Linked DNA regions of Arabidopsis thaliana. The main gene of each other region encodes a partner of the protein of the gene in region 2 in a complex. Each region holds a gene or a part of one and is shown on either strand. Other genes may lie near its edges. The genes, in order: RPL24, AT1G29070, EMB3136 and RPL9.

Region 1 (4,287 bases), on a different chromosome or scaffold from region 2:
ATAGTAGTTACTTTGGTTATTATTTCAAAGTTTGAAAGTTCATTAAAAAGGGGAATGCTGTTGTGGATATGAGAAGGTCTTGCATTCTTGGGGTTATATTCCGTTTTTGACATATGGTCTTTGGTGATTGCTTCAGGGATTTGCAGAAAGCGACGTGTAATTTCACGACTTTGATAGGCCAAGGAGCATTTGGACCTGTCTACAAAGCTCAAATGTCTACTGGTGAGATCGTGGCTGTGAAAGTTCTAGCCACTGATTCTAAACAGGGCGAAAAAGAGTTTCAGACAGAGGTAAGATATATCTATGGATTCATTTCCGAAGAACAAGTTAGTGTGTAAAACATGTAGCATTAGGCAGACTTTTAAGCATTACAATAGGCTTTCTGAAATCTCTAATACTCAATTTATTAGTTGTGTCATCTATAAGACAGGCTACATGAATGAACAATCTATATATCTTACTCTCTTAGTATCTGCTTAGTTTCTTGAAAAACTCATCCACTCGCCTTAATCTTTTCAGGTTATGTTATTGGGAAGGTTGCATCACCGTAACCTAGTGAACTTGATTGGATACTGTGCAGAGAAAGGCCAACACATGCTTATATATGTTTACATGAGTAAAGGAAGCTTAGCTTCTCATTTATACAGTAAGTAACTACCTGGTTATACATACCATATTAATCTGCTTGTCACTAAATGAACTGTTAATGCAATGTTGAGCTATTCGGTATCTTTGTAGAACATTTATTGAGTTGATGGTTTAGACTTCACTAAATGATGAGCCTTGGTAAAGATTTGAGATGCACTAAAATGGTACTTTTGATACAGGCGAAAAACATGAACCGCTGAGCTGGGATTTGAGAGTATATATTGCTTTAGACGTGGCACGTGGTCTAGAGTATCTTCATGATGGGGTAAGCTGCTTGCTAAAACCATTCACCATTTTAATGCATCTCTTAAACAACAACTTCAAAACTCATGTTCTAATCAATTGTTCCAGGCTGTTCCTCCTGTAATCCACAGAGATATCAAATCTTCCAACATCTTGCTGGATCAATCTATGAGAGCTCGGGTAAACATATCTTCTTTCTCTTTGAAATCTCAGTCTATTGAACCACCTCAAGTTTCTAATGGTGATCTTCTTTAACTTCAGGTTGCTGACTTTGGCCTCTCCAGAGAAGAAATGGTAGACAAACATGCAGCTAACATCAGAGGAACATTTGGCTACCTCGATCCCGAATACATTTCAACAAGAACATTCACCAAGAAAAGCGATGTCTATGGCTTCGGAGTTTTGCTTTTCGAGCTTATAGCAGGAAGAAATCCTCAACAAGGTCTAATGGAATTGGTTGAGCTGGTAACATAAAACTAAAAAGTCCTCGAAATCTCCAATTGTTTTGTTTGGAGAATTGCATGTAAAGACTAAACGTTTTGTTGTTGTTGATGAACAGGCGGCTATGAATGCAGAGGAAAAAGTCGGATGGGAAGAGATAGTAGATTCAAGATTAGATGGGAGATATGATTTACAAGAAGTGAATGAAGTAGCAGCTTTTGCTTACAAATGCATCTCTCGTGCACCTAGAAAACGTCCTAACATGAGGGACATTGTTCAGGTTTTGACTCGTGTTATTAAAGTGAGACATTGCAGAAAGCGGCAGAAGAATTCTCCGTCGCCGTCTCCACGGCTTCCTCCTCCTCCTCCGATAGTGGAGGAGTCAGAAGGTGAGTTAACTGCAAACGGATCATTACGATCAGAAATTCATCGGAGGGATAATTCCTTGGACAGTAGTATAGCTGAAGACGTGATTTTGTAAACAAAATGAAAAAAAAGTCTCAATTTTTTTAATTATTATTAACTTTTAAAATGTGATTTTGTTTTTCAATTCTTTTGGGTTTTTAGACGCTAGATTGTCTATATTTGTGAATGAAAATTTGTTCTTTGTTTTTTCGTGTTAAAACGAGTTCAAAACTGGAGAACCATATTATATATTTGGGCTATGAAAAGAATTGAATTCAAGGCCCAATTAAAACCTAGCCTAGCCCATTAAGGTTTAGTGATAATACAGTGTCGTTTAATCGTTTATCCAATTTTTATCGTCATCTGTGGAACGGATAGGACGAAGGAAAAAGAAGAAGAGTGAAAGTTGCAGAGCGAGAAAAAATGGCAACCATGTCTGCTCTTCAGAGCTCTTTTACTTCTCTTTCTCTATCTCCCAGCTCTTCCTTCCTCGGCCAGCGTTTAATTTCCCCGATTTCCCTCTCCGTCACTTCTCCGGTAACTTTAATTTTCGATTTCTGGTCAATTCAGGTTTTTAATCATTGTTCAAGCTTTTAGGTTATGTAGTTCACTTGTTTGCGTAATAGATTAGGTTCATGTCTTCGCTTTTCATATCCAAACCCATTTCATCAAGTAACTCTCAAATTGAATCTGTGTTGTTGCTCATTTTAAGTTTGAATTTTGCTTACTGGGATATAAAATTTTGTGCATTGTCTATGTTTAAGTGTAACTACTGAATTGAGATGAAAGTTATGAGGACTTAAAACGTCATCCTTTAGACTGATTGACTAGTTATTGGTTTGGAATCAATGGACTAGTACTTGTAAATGCTATACTTTTTAAACGAACGAAAATGTGCGTGTGATGGCTCACATTGAGTAAAGTGGCTATCTTGTTCATTTGGTTGTGATTTTTTGCATTTTCTTATGAAATGCAAAATAGCTGCAATAGGATATGGTTTCTTTGTTACTCTGCTGATTATTTTATACTCATTGCAGGTCAAGCCCGCTGAGAACCCATGTCTTGTTCTTGCAAAGGTTAGTCCACAGATCCATTACATTAACATTCTGCATTATTCGTTAATATACTAGCTTTGAAACCACAATAATTCTTTAGATTTTGTACACATCAAAAGCAAAAAGGAAAACTGTTGATAGATTCTTTTGAAACAATGAGATTGGAAGATGATTTATGTGTTTTGCGTTTTCAGCTCAAGCGTTGGGAACGAAAAGAATGCAAACCAAACAGTCTTCCGATTCTCCACAAAATGCATGTCAAGTTTGGAGATACAGTCAAAGTAATATCTGGACGCGACAAGGGTAAAATCGGAGAGGTTACTAAGATTTTCACTCACAACAGTACCATTGTGATCAAAGATGTGAACCTCAAAACAAAACACATGAAGAGCCGAGAAGAGGGAGAGCCTGGTCAAATTGTCAAGGTCAGAAATCATAGTTTTGTAGCTTTCCTTTACTTTGCAAGATTGGAGTGATGATTGAAGATTGTGCGAAATGTATTATGCTTTCCAGATAGAAGCACCTATCCACAGCTCAAATGTGATGTTGTATTCAAAAGAAAAAGACGTAGTAAGCCGGGTGGGTCACAAGGTACTTGAAGATGGACAGAAGGTAAGATATCTGATCAAAACAGGGGAACTCATCGACACCATTGAGAAGTGGAAGCTACTTAAGGAGGCTAAGGATAAGGAAACCACCCAAGTTGCAGTTACCTCCGCATCTTAGCGTCTCATTTCTTTCTTCTTCAGTGCACTTTTGATATAATAGACCTATGCATTGGATGGATGTATTGAATCCCTTTTAAGGTAAATTATAATATTTCTGCTCCCCTCATGAACACCTCTTAGCATGATTTAACATATTAATCGAACTAAAGCCGGGTACTCTTGAGTCTTGTCTATATCAATATTGATCGTTATTGACAATGTTAGACCGGCCTATCAAATAAACTGAACCAAAAACTAAACATATTAATGACTCCGCCATAACCTTAAGCACCTACAGTAATTTATTCAAAAGATACAATCTTTAAAATGAGTGCACGTTACAAAGTTAAAGCAAACAAAGTTTCGAGGGAACAAAGTGCAAACGCTTCAAAATGGTTAAACCATGTTCTTGAAGTTGTCAGAAATCAGGTCGCTTTTGGGTTTGCGTACCTTCATCTGCGTACACCGTTTCCACTTTACATATAATACCAGTAGATACACGAGGAATAAGCCCCCTTCATATATGATGAGGAAGAAGAATGAGAGACCATGCATCATGTACATCAAAAGGAAATAAGAGAAGACGAGGGGCACCGTAATAATGAAATACCACCACTCATATGCTCTGCCAACTGGTAAGAGAATAAATGAAAATAGGATAGCTATGGAAAACGCTACCGTATTGCATCCCCATAGTTGGAATTCCGAAAACCTCATACCATTCTTTTTAACTTTATCTAGTTTTTCTTTGTCTAGCAGTTGGGCTGCAGTCTGAAAAGTGGCTGAGA
Region 2 (4,043 bases):
GTATATTTCTAATATTATCAGTTTCTCCTTTTCTGAAATCGATTCTGGATAGAGAAAACGGGTCCTAGATTTGGTGAATTCTGCGTAAAGTACAAGTATTTATCTTTGGTGTGTGATTTGTAGAGAAGGGCTAAGCACTAGAAATGCTTCAGGTTCAGAGGAAATTCAGCTGAGGATTGATCCTATGCACTCTGACCTGGATGATGAGATTCTAGGTCTCCATGGCCAAGTCAGGCAATTGAAAAATGTAAGAAACCCTCTAAATCCCATTTCGATCTTTCTACTTTTTATCTATAGTGCCATTTGTATTGTCTTCTTGTGGTTCTGAAGGATCATTGTTCTCTTTAAGCTTTAAGTTGATCATATGAATTTGGAAATTTGTCTTCTTTTCGGTTTTGACAGTGGTTAGAGCTTGGTTAATTAGTTGTGTAGGTGTTTTTTTGTTCAGGGTACTATGATAATGTTATTGTTCACAATACTTATCAGTCAGTCCACGATTAATTAGTTGAATCCACTTGTCTGATGTCTTTTGTATACATCTGTGGTTATTGTTTTATATCACCACCCTTCTTGAAGGAATCAGTCGACATTCTCTACAATTCCTTGTGTTTTACCTTGCACTTTTGCGCATTATTTATCCCTCATGATTTTTTGTTATATCGTTGATCGCTTATTTTGATGCAGATTGCTCAAGAAATTGGGTCAGAAGCAAAGTCTCAGAGGGACTTCTTAGATGAACTGGTATGTTGTTGATGTCCCTTTAGTTTTTTCTTTATCCATCATAGTAAATTGCAATGTAAGCACTTAACATCAGTAACATGCATTCATTTACTCTTCTTTACCTTTAAGATGAATCACTGATTATATATAGTATATCCGAATATCGGTTTCCTATAACTTGTTTCAGATGTCTCTGTTCATTATTAGTTGGGAAAATATAGTTTCATCCTAACATATGTTAGATAACTTTAACCGTAGCTTACAAAACCAATGAATCTTGATAAATCCAAAGTGTAGATTATGTTTACTTAGGATCTGGTCTGAACGCTGGTGGTGGGTAGGATTAGATATCTTCAATCTCACCTAGTTTGGTGAAATGCAGCAGGAAATGGTTACAGCTTATCATTGAGTTCCTGCCACTTTGTCAATGAGAATGTTGGTGTTGAATGTGTTCATTGCTTTTAGTTCGTTCTAGTTTTTTCTTTTGTTACCTAGAAGAACATCCTAGAGAAGATAATGACAAACAACTAGATTTGGTAGTGAGACTGCAGAAACAAGCATTTAGTGCTGTTATAAGCAAAATAAAATAAGTAGACGAAATGTTGTTCTTGTCTGAAACATAAAACGCTTCAATGGTATTTTGTTTTTGTTTGTGACAGCAAATGACATTGATCAGAGCGCAAGCAGGGGTGAAGAACAACATAAGGAAACTGAACCTAAGCATAATCCGTAGTGGTAACAACCACATAATGCACGTAGTTCTTTTCGCGCTCCTCCTCTTCTTTATCCTCTACATGTGGTCCAAGATGTTCAAAAGATAGATAGAGAGACTCATGGCATACTTGTGTTACCCCCCAAAAAAAAACCCTTGATGAATGTTGGATAAGTTGTAGAAAATATCCTCTAGATTACAAACATTTTGTGGTTCTTCTCGTTACCTGTTATATAGAGTGCCTGTTTTTAACAGTTTACATGAAGCAAAATTGTATCACAGAACAACAGCATGAGATATTTTAGACCAGTTCAAATCTGGCCTTAACTTGATTAATTACCCGTCCGGTCCAATTCAGTATTGGGCTTTTATAGTCTTATGGGCTGAAGTGTCGTGATACGTGTATTATTATGGTTGGTTCTTATGCGTAAGTTTATGGTGGTATCGTCCGTAGACGATAGAGGTTCCACACTATGTAAAGGAGACCGGAGAAACAAAGGAACTGGGTTTGGAGATAAGAAGTGGGAACTTGAATGGCTTCCTTATCCACTTCCGTTGTAGCTTCGGCTTCGTCGCGTTTATGGAATCCTGCTGCCTCCAACGGCAAGATTTGCGTTCCTTCTGCTTCGCTTTCTCTGCGTACGGGTTGTAGACGGAGTTCGTCCTCTCTCACTTCTTCCGCTTCTTCGCAATTGCTTCATTGCTCGTTTCTCTCGTCGCCTGTTTCCCTAGCGTCTCCATTTTCTGGTACATCTTAAATTGGTTCGAATTATTGTTTGTGTTTAGCTTCTGGTGATGTAATGTATCAAGTTCTTTTACCCAATTTTGATTTTTTTTTCTGGTTCTTTGGGTTTGGTTGATTTATCACTATTCTCGTGTGTTAGGCTCTAGCTTACTTTGCAAACACATATATTCGAAGCTTTTTTAGAAGAATTTGGGAATTGTGAAACATAGTTGTCAATGGTGAATTCGATTTGGGAGTGTGAGTGAAAGAAGCCATTTTGTTTGTTTCTGATATTTCTTGTTAAGTTTATAACAACAAGTGAAGATAACATTTTGCAACTTAAGCCTCAATTTCTGATATCTTAGCTCATGTATTTGTAGCCGCAAGTAAATGTTGTTTGATTTTTAGTACAAAAATCTTTTAGCTCATGTCGATTATTTAGGTACAATGGTTATAGATTTGCTTCAATATGTCACATGAACTTGTTCCTCCTCCTTTGATCATAATTTTCTTGTAAAGTATATTGTACGACCATTGTAGCTAGGCTAAGATTTGAGCAGTGAATTATAAGCTTTGCCAATTTAGCAACAGACGTTATGGTTATAGCTCAAGAGTTAAAAGGGTAACCTAGGAGAATGCATTAAAGTCATTTTGGATTTGTCTGGGTCTTGATTCTGAGCAGTGTGTTGAGAGTTTGGTATTGTATGGTGAGTTCTTTGGGTAATTAAAGGAAGGAGTTTACCGGTTCCAATATTATCAGCTTGATACACTATCAAACCTATAATGTCACATTGATCAAAATGGTGTTGCTGTCTTTTCAGGTTTGTCCATTGCGTTTGATCTCAGCAGTCAAACTAGTGGACTGAATGGCCAGAGACGCAGAGGCCTTGTGGTTAGAGCTGGAAAAGCTGCTCTGTGTCAAACTAAGAGAAGCAGATCAAGAAAATCTCTAGCTAGGACTCATGGTTTCCGTAGAAGGATGAGGACCACTAGCGGTAGAGCAACCATAAAGCGTCGACGTGCCAAGGGACGTTGGAACCTCTGTCCCAAGTCCAACCCTAGCAGCGGCAAACGGGCTTGAAGTTTGTTTCTCTCTTCACTCTATCTGTAATCTTGTTTCATGTGCTTTTTTTCCACCAGAAGATACAATGAGAAACATGGTTCGTTGAGCTCTTTTCTGCGTTTTAACTCTCTTGCATCCTTGATTCGTTTATAAATCAATGTTCTTGGAATTCATCACATGTACTACTATACTACTTGCTTCATTGAATTTGTTACTACTCGAAGTCTCAACTTCAAAGCCATAATTACTTAAAGATCTCTTCTGGCCACCAGGATAATTCTGGTGTGTAAGAATTGTTCAGATTCCAAGTAGTGTTAATGGTTGCTGAAAGTTGATGTATATAGTTTGGGGTTCAATCCCTGAAGGATTTTACTTTCATTTACTAGTTTTATTTCAACCTAACAATTACTTTTAAGTACTAACCCTAAATTATATTCCCCTTAAAAAGAAAACTGCACCAAAAACAAACTAGTTAAGAAAAATGAAACCAAAACTAAAAAAGAAAAGTTCCTTCTTATTGGAAATTAGGGAGGGATCAGATTGTGTAAAAAAGAGAGCGCCCAATAGTCGTAACAGGCTTTGGGCGGAACGCTCTTCTCGCAATATAAGCGAGTTTTTACCATTCATCATATCCCCTTTAACTTGCCTGAAGGATCATGCCTTTTACGTAATTAGCTCTTTCTTTTTTATAGGCATGTTACTACCATCACTATCTCTACCTAAACGATGTGGGACAAAATAAACTATTCTCTTGTTTGAAATAAGGTTTCTTATCTCAAATTCATATATCTTTGTTTTTTAAAGTGGGTCTATAAAAGGCCTCT
Region 3 (3,312 bases), on a different chromosome or scaffold from region 2:
GCTAAATCTCCTGCATCTTACTGTTGGTGCAGCTATGTGCTCATGGCAGAGCCTGATCATGTATTTGTTAATCCCCTTCCCAATTTGGCTGTTGGAGGATTCCCAGCCGCTTTTCCGTTTTTCTATATTACTCCTGAAAAGTATGAAAACATAGTCAGAAAGTATTATCCAGCGGAGATGGGGCCAGTAACAAATATCGACCCCATTGGCAACTCTCCTGTTATCATAAGCAAGGTGAGATTATCTGTGCTATACTGTTTGTATATGTGTTATTTGACTTGGGCCCCAAAGATTTTCAGAGGCGTTTAGCTAGATGTGATGTTGGTGTCCAGGAATATGTTCTGTTTGTTCTGTTCATGCATTAAAATTGATGTTGACATGCATTTACTTTCTGATGCAGGAATCACTTGAAAAGATTGCTCCTACATGGATGAATGTCTCGCTGACAATGAAAAACGATCCAGAAACTGATAAGGCATTTGGATGGGTGCTGGAAATGTTAGCACAAGAAACAAGAATCTTAAATCATGAATTGGCTCTCCACCTTTTGAATCCCATCATTGTTAACTGACTACTTTATTCTTCTCTTTTCTGTTTGATAAGGTACGGTTACGCAATTGCATCTGCTATACATGGGGTGCGTCACATACTTCGGAAGGATTTCATGCTTCAGGTAAGAATCGACCTTGTGCTGATACCTTAGTGATAACATATTCTATGTCGAAGATACTTTTGTTTTGTCAAAGTTACAAAAGTTGTTTCTCTGCTCCATATTCCTAAGTTCTCTCACAATATCTTTCAGCCTCCGTGGGATTTGTCTACCAAGGGGAAGTTTATCATTCATTACACTTATGGATGCGACTACAACATGAAGGTGATTTTCTGTTTGACACGATTGTTTAATTTTAATTTTTGGCTGATAAATTAGGAACAGATTTCACATCTTGTGGTCATTTGTTTTTACTTAAGGTCATTAGGTTCTCTTTTTAGTCACTACTAAGTTTTGCTGACTGTTAAATACAGGGGGAGCTGACATATGGCAAAATAGGAGAGTGGCGATTCGATAAGAGATCACATTTGCGGGGTCCTCCTCCAAGGAACATGTCCTTGCCGCCTCCCGGTGTTCCCGAAAGTGTGGTATGTTATATATAAACCTCTATAATCTGATCGTGCTTAAAACAAGATACTGCAGTAAGGTCCATTCATAGCTCAAAGGGGAACTTATTTGTATCATGTCCATTGGTTTAGTGGATTCCGGAGACTAAATAGCAACGTCATACACAAATGGTCGTCCATAGTTTGATGTAGTTTGTGAATTTGCAATGGTTTTACTTTCCGGGGAGATGATATGCATAAGTCTGTTAGAAGTAGTTGTAATATCTTCAGGAGTTACGGTTTTGCTTGTGGTCAATCAAGTGTGAGAGTGAGAACCGTAATATTGAATGACTGTCCTTAATAACATATTGTGTGATGGTGCAGGTGACACTTGTGAAGATGGTGAATGAAGCTACTGCGACTATCCCTAATTGGGACACTCTCTAACTCACATCCACACACAAAACACAAACCATAGGGACAAATCCATACAGCAACAATATTTTGCCTAATTTTTTTTTCCTTCTCCCTTTACTTCCCTTCTTGTCTGTTTTTTCTTGTAATGGTTAAATTATGAACTTGAGTAGTAAATTACAAAATTATTTGTTTGACACGAGACGAGACATCTTCCATAATTCCGAGAAAGAAAATAGAATTATTTTGGGTCTAGTTATTTGATTAGTTTACCAATGGATTGCGTTCAGAATTCAGAAGCAGAGACTAAAAGACACAATGCGTTAAATTAGACGGAGTTACTAATTCCGTCTATTAACCCTTTTTTTATCCATAAATTTTATTTTCCATTTAAGAAAAATAAAAAAATAAAATTGCTTAGTGGAGGATTGTGTTGTTGTTCATCTATCTTCTTCCTCCACACAGCTAGAAACAGTCTCCTCATCTTCTGAGCAAAAAAATGGAAGTGGCTCTTCTCTCCTTCTCTTCTTCCTTGTCTCCTCTCTGTCACCAGCGAATCTCAACTCTCACACCCAAAACCTCGAATTCCCCAAATTACCCTCGCCTCCCGGTCATCAGATCCGCGGTGTCTCGTAACAAGAAGGAAGAGACTGTCGAAGCCGTCAAGTCTCACTTGGAGAACTGCCATCTCCTCGCCGCCATCAACTACAAAGGCCTCACCGTCAAGCAGTTTCAAGACCTCCGGAGAACTCTCCCCGACACTACAAAGCTCATCGTCGCCAAGAACACTTTGGTCTTCAAAGCCATTGAAGGCACCAAATGGGAAGCTCTCAAGCCTTGTATGAAAGGCATGAACGCTTGGCTTTTCGTCCAGACCGATGAAATCCCTTCTGCTATCAAACCCTACCGGAGCTTCCAGAAGGAACGCAAGCTTGAAAACAATGACTTTGCCGGCGCTGTCTTCGAAGGTAAGTTCTACGCTCCTGACAATTTCAAAGTCCTCGAGACCATGCCCACTCGTGCTGAGGTCTACGCTAAGATGCTCGGTGCTCTGCAATCTCCGGCTATTAATCTCGTCACTACTTTACAAGCACCAGCAAGAGAGGTTATAATGGTGCTTATGGCTTACATTAAGAAGTTGGAAGATGAGAGTAATGCATAGTTAAGCTTGTACTAATCTTTTGGAGAATGTAATGTACGCAACAAAAGGCAATTCAATTTTTTGTTTATGACTCTCTCAAGCACCAATTGTTATTACAGTGACTGAGTTTTATTGAAATGTTGTTTTTCGGAGTGCTCTCAAGCTATCATAACGGTCTTGTTTAGATGTACTTAGAGAGGATAGATTCAACAACTCCCTGAGCTATGGGGTGATAAGTTTCTCGAGCTTCTGCAAACACCTGTTTTGCCAGCTGCTTCTCTTCTGTTCCACCAGATTGTGCAAGAGCAGTGAAGAGTGGACGCAGGTACTTCATCCTTCCTACCTCTTTTAGTGTTTTCTTCACTTCCCCATGGTACTCTCTGCACTTGGATGTGACTGCAAGTTGCAGAAACGAGACCTTCACTTCATAGTCTTTCGATTCTGCCAGTCTGTACCGCTTGTCCAAGGCCATGACCTGATTCATCAATGAGCAAAGTGGGTGTTAGCCATAGGTTTGAACCTGATCACCAATCCTTCCTTTGTTGACTAGCATTGTCATTAACAAACAAGATAAGATCCTAACTCTTGCAAAGCCAATACACTTTCCACAATCATGAACTCTCCCAAAGCCAAGAGGGTTTTTCCACAATCATTATTCACTA
Region 4 (4,879 bases), on a different chromosome or scaffold from region 2:
TGCGGATCAAACTCAAGTCCATTTTAACTCCCATCAAGAACCAAAACATCATGTAGGAACATGCACCCACTAAACCAAACAGAGTCTCTTTATAGTCTTCCGTCGAGAGGAATTTCCTAGCCGGTGTATTCTCCTTAAGAAACGACTTGCTCAAGAGAATCCCAGTCTGGCAAAACCACACAGAATATCAAACATAAGCAATGCAAACAAAGAGGAAGAGAGATTTGAAGATTCAAGAATTGAGTAAAGTTCTTACAAGCATATGGGAGGTGAAACGAATCATGCCGAGACGTCTGAGGAAGAAATGGAAGAATTGCCAGAGAATAGTGACGATAAGGAAAATGATCTGAACATGTGGAAACATGTAATTCCAGAACTCAATGTTTGCTTGAGGATCTGGGAGCTTCGGGGAGGGCCATAGCCCGCTCGAGCTCGGGTTAATAGGCAAGATACCGCAGATCATGTTTGCATCTCTCCATGTATCTCTCAGGTAAGGGATCCTATCACCATTAAACTCCATTGGACAAAACTTGTTAACAAGAACAAAGATGATAGAAACAAGAGAATCATATGATTATAAAAACCGAATCAAGAGCTATAACTGTCTTAAACAAAAAAGGTTTTGGTAACAGAATTGAAGAGAAGCAGTGAAACAAAAAAACATCTGGGTTTTGTCATTAAACAACAACTCTCTAAAAATAGTCAATCTTGTGGGAACAAGAGACGGCGACATAGTTTTTCAGATTTCTGGTTATTTGTTAGTTTTTTAAACAGCTTGTTAGTGTTAATTTAAGCATTCTCATCACTTCAACAGACAAATGAATACAATATAACTTCAAGTAAATATCATAACTTGCAAGAGAATATTATACTTTTAGCGTTTCCAGATTCCAAAAATAGCAAAAATACAAATGCATCAAACAATCTAAAGGAAAAACTTCACAACCTTCAATCCTCACCACAAGAGGCTACTCTCTTTTCCCTCTCTATACGTTCCTGCAAGTTCAAAACACCAAACACAGTGCGATGGACAATTAGCATCTGCGTTTGCGGCTAGACCTTAAAACGCAAAACTCCGTTCAACAGCCAATATTCCCGACCAATGTTTATATGCCGATGTTCAGAGTTCAGAACATCGGTTTAACTACTTATTTCATGCCAATTAAGACACGAACTAAGACAAAACTAATACTTAGTTTCATTTATGGTTAAAAGCCACATGATCATGGAAAATCAAGAAATACCTTGGGATGCAGTAGGAGTCTTGAATCGTTGAAGGTTTAGTTAGCGAAAACATTGATCTTAACTCGAGCAGTGACATCGGGGTGAAGCTTGAGTTCGGCTATGTATTCTCCGGTTTCACGGATTTCTGGGAGAGAGACAAGGCGTTTGTCGATGTCCCTGCAAAACACAGCCACAGAGAAGCAGATAAAACCATATTAGGTTCTTCGAACAACACTAAAAACCAAATGTAGACTGATCCAACTAAACCGCCCACATGAGAAAGCTTGTAGCTTTTTATGTGGAAATGTAAAATTTTCTATGTTGTTACTTTTGGAGCTGTGATTTGATGATGTCGACGAGGTCTTGAGCTGTGACACTGCAGGAAAATATAAAGTTAAGTACAGGCTAAACACTATTCTCAAGACTGTTAAAATCTAGATTTGCTTAAGTAGGACTTACGATCCAAATATCAGTTTGCCTTTACCGCCTTTGCGTTTAACCTTGAAAGCACCAACGGTTTGGAATACCATCGCCAGTTGTTGTGCCTCTTCTTTCACCTGCAAAAAAGGTTCCACGCAAAGAAAAAACCAACAAACAGATGAAAATCAATAACCAAAGAGTTTTTTGGTGATCACTCAAACACCAAAACTTTACATGATGATCAAATAAAAACAATCAATGTATTCATATCAGATTACCCTTTGCTTCTCTGCCTCAATCCGTTCGTCTTCCATCTTCAATTCCCTGGGGGAAAAACACACACACAAAAAGAAAGAAAATGATGTTTTTCTTGTTGATCTTACAACATTGTAGCAAAGTCCCTCGAAATACAAAGGCCTTAGAACCGAATAGTAAGAGCATACAAAAGCGAACGGAAATTTCGAAGTTGAGGTGAATTACTTGAGCAGAAGTGGAGTCATAAGCTGAGCCTTTCCAGTAGGCAAGAGGAAGTTTCTGAAAAATCCAGCTTTCACATCAAGTAATTGCCCTTGCTTACCCAAATCCGTCACATCCTCTTTCAAAATTACCTTAAAGACACAAAACAAGATTTACCATTAGTGTTTCACTTACTCCATTTCTCTACACAGAAACAAAGCTTCAAACCAATTTATCTTCACTACTTGAAACTAAACTGGTAATATAAAGGCGTCTACTTTTCTAATGTTGATTCATCTTTCTTCCTAACTACGCTGATACAAGAACAAAGACGATGTTTTTACACTAAACCCATAAATTAAGCATCTTCAAGTCTTTTACTTTCATCTCCACCAAAATTCTTCAGAAACACAAGCTCAAATCAAAAACTAACTAAAAGCCAAATCAAATTTTTGAAGGAAACCCATGAAAGGTAATGACTTTTACCTTGCGAAGTTTCTTAGCTTTCTTCTGGGAAACAACTTCAAAATTGAACCTTCGCTCAGATACTTTTAGGGTTTCATTTGCACCGCCATTGAAGCTGTGTGACCAACAAGGAGAGGAGCTCCATGAGAGAGACAAAGCTGTCGAAGAAGCCATAGCCAAAGCTGATTTCACTTCAAAGCAGAGATAACAAGAGCGCACAGTTGTAGTAATTGTTATCTTCTTATCGGCTTTTCGTGTGCTTGCTCAAGTGAAGTGACGAATGTTTTTCTTATGTTTCGAATTTGACCCCGTAATTATTCTACTTTTCTGTTTTCTTACTTAAAAGTTTTATAAAGTTCAATTGAGTACCCAAAATTTAACGGTTAAATCGGTTTTATAGTGCTAAAAGTTCCTCTGGATTTTGATTTACAATGTTTGTACTTTGTATGATGATTATACATATACACAACAAATCTACTCGATTTCAGAATGTACATAATCTCTAAACACAAAGTTCTTCTCTTGTTCATGTAAAGCATATGCAGAAGCAGCTGATATCAGTGATAAACCAGCAAGAACCAGTCGAATCTGAACATCAGAAGGAACACCAGCCGTGGCGGCCCAGAAAACCGTCGCGCCAACGAGAAACTTCTTGAGGATTTGGAAACTGTTGTAAGCTCCTTTGCAGGAAGAGCATACTTGTGTATGCTGATCAAATCTATCTAGCATCTGTTTGTTCAAATTTGTCACGTTTTCAGACATGTGTTTGTATATATATAGAGATCAATCAAATGATGTTAGGATGCATGATTGATGGCTCACCTGACGCTTGGTTAAGACAGTGGAAGGGAGAGGTTGGTTAGACGGGGTGGAGCCGAACCATTCAGGCTGACTCTTACCATGCCGTCTGAGCCAGTTTCTGAATGCTAGAACAAAACGGTCTGCCTGGGTTGGAGTGAATGTGAGCTTTGTGTACTGTTTGTTCACGTCGTAGTCTGGTGACTCCATTGATTTAGCGAGGAATACTTTCTCTTGTCCTTGAAGTACGATCATGTCTCCGTCATAGACTAAGTTCGAAGTCCAGTGTTCATACCATCTTGGTACAACCTAACAAGGAACAGCTTCAGAAGAATTTACGTAGTAAAATCGGATTAGAGATGGAATCAAAGTTTGTTTTACCTGCCACCAAGCTGGTCCTGGTACAGAGAACTGAAAGAAGTTACGGGCGCTGCAAACGATGGAACGGGTCTTTCCTGGAGCCATTGGTATATTGAATGAGCAAATCCAAATGACCCATTTTTGATTACCGACGATTGGTAGTTTCGCATCTAACTCAATTCTGTAGACAAGGATACACAATTTCATTCTATGCAACTGTATGCTAACCATTTATTATGTATAGTGAGCAAACTCAACACTCACTTGTTCATAGAATAGCACGGAGCAACAAATTTTGCGGTTATCCTTGGACTGTCATCATTCGCACCTTGGAAACCCCAAGGCCCACTTGACTCCACCTTGAACGGCAATGGTTTGGCTCTGTCTCTTCTTCCTGTAACCTGTTTACAACACGTAATCATCGCCTGAGGATAATATCCCTTAGTGGAAATGCAAACACATTGGGAGCTTTGAGAAAGAAAACAACACCTTGTGATGAGCAAAATCTATATGGGAAGGATCAGATACATTTTCCATGAGAGTATCATATCCATAGAAAAGATCCCTTTGAATTGTCACCGTCGAAAATTCCGGTTTATCGAAATCATCCGGCAACCTTTTATGTTAAAGATCAACGCATTTAATAAAACGAGTAATAAAACGAGTATGCTATGTTCATGGAAGCCTGAGAAGATAATCATTTTCGTTACCTAGGGGGTTCAATTGAATTGGCTCTATCCCAACCATTTTCATCAGGCCACACAAAGAGAAGACCTTGAGACACCATTGTCGGGAACTTAATAGCACAAGCTCTCGGGGATTTAACAGCACGAGCTTCAGGACCTGAAGTAGCAGCCTGAGGAATCCTAGTGCAAGATCCACACCCACCAAATGACCATCCATGATACGAACATTGCAAGTGTCCATTCTCATCCAACCTTCCTTCCTACATAACCACAATGCATCAACACATACACAAACACATCAATGAGTCAAGCTCAAAACTTTGGTTACATACACAACAAAGTTTACTTCTTTTTGCTCATAAGTCATAACAATAACAACAACACAAAACTGTTCTGATTCTGACCCTAATATTTTATTCTTTGAAGCTTTTAACCTAATTGATATACTTTAAAAATCAAAACTTTACAAT

What was found.
Region 1: AT1G29070 (region 2) and RPL24 share a complex: the UniProt entries of both Arabidopsis thaliana proteins name them as parts of the 50S ribosomal subunit.
Region 3: AT1G29070 (region 2) and EMB3136 share a complex: the UniProt entries of both Arabidopsis thaliana proteins name them as parts of the 50S ribosomal subunit.
Region 4: AT1G29070 (region 2) and RPL9 share a complex: the UniProt entries of both Arabidopsis thaliana proteins name them as parts of the 50S ribosomal subunit.

Annotation. Positions count from the first base shown.
Region 1 is NC_003076.8:22,180,886-22,185,172, forward strand, and holds RPL24 (Translation protein SH3-like family protein), read left to right. Parts: upstream 1-1,957; 5' UTR 1,958-2,160; coding exon 2,161-2,274; intron 2,275-2,774; coding exon 2,775-2,813; intron 2,814-2,986; coding exon 2,987-3,217; intron 3,218-3,305; coding exon 3,306-3,518; 3' UTR 3,519-3,725; downstream 3,726-4,287. Other genes in the region: CRLK1 (Protein kinase superfamily protein), read left to right, coding at 137-290, 520-646, 828-913, 1,000-1,071, 1,153-1,356, 1,451-1,813; ANK (ankyrin), read right to left, coding at 3,896-4,287. UniProt on the Arabidopsis thaliana protein: One of two assembly initiator proteins, it binds directly to the 5'-end of the 23S rRNA, where it nucleates assembly of the 50S subunit. Required for optimal plastid performance in terms of photosynthesis and growth.
Region 2 is NC_003070.9:10,147,919-10,151,961, forward strand, and holds AT1G29070 (Ribosomal protein L34), read left to right. Parts: upstream 1-1,872; 5' UTR 1,873-1,965; coding exon 1,966-2,179; intron 2,180-2,977; coding exon 2,978-3,237; 3' UTR 3,238-3,489; downstream 3,490-4,043. Other genes in the region: AT1G29060 (Target SNARE coiled-coil domain protein), read left to right, coding at 124-247, 685-741, 1,380-1,541. UniProt on the Arabidopsis thaliana protein: This protein binds directly to 23S ribosomal RNA.
Region 3 is NC_003076.8:4,339,286-4,342,597, forward strand, and holds EMB3136 (Ribosomal protein L10 family protein), read left to right. Parts: upstream 1-1,976; 5' UTR 1,977-2,008; coding exon 2,009-2,671; 3' UTR 2,672-2,810; downstream 2,811-3,312. Other genes in the region: AT5G13500 (Hyp O-arabinosyltransferase-like protein), read left to right, coding at 33-234, 401-498, 604-673, 803-874, 1,024-1,137, 1,480-1,542; AT5G13520 (peptidase M1 family protein), read right to left, coding at 2,832-3,125. UniProt on the Arabidopsis thaliana protein: This protein binds directly to 23S ribosomal RNA.
Region 4 is NC_003074.8:16,384,365-16,389,243, reverse strand, and holds RPL9 (ribosomal protein L9), read right to left. Parts: upstream 2,850-4,879; 5' UTR 2,740-2,849; coding exon 2,587-2,739; intron 2,253-2,586; coding exon 2,125-2,252; intron 1,969-2,124; coding exon 1,923-1,968; intron 1,782-1,922; coding exon 1,684-1,781; intron 1,601-1,683; coding exon 1,553-1,600; intron 1,402-1,552; coding exon 1,281-1,401; 3' UTR 1,245-1,280; intron 997-1,244; 3' UTR 521-996; downstream 1-520. Other genes in the region: CHX4 (cation/H+ exchanger 4), read right to left, coding at 1-166, 257-520; ACD1 (Pheophorbide a oxygenase family protein with Rieske 2Fe-2S domain-containing protein), read right to left, coding at 3,040-3,294, 3,388-3,672, 3,745-3,904, 3,988-4,124, 4,213-4,339, 4,434-4,669. UniProt on the Arabidopsis thaliana protein: Binds to the 23S rRNA.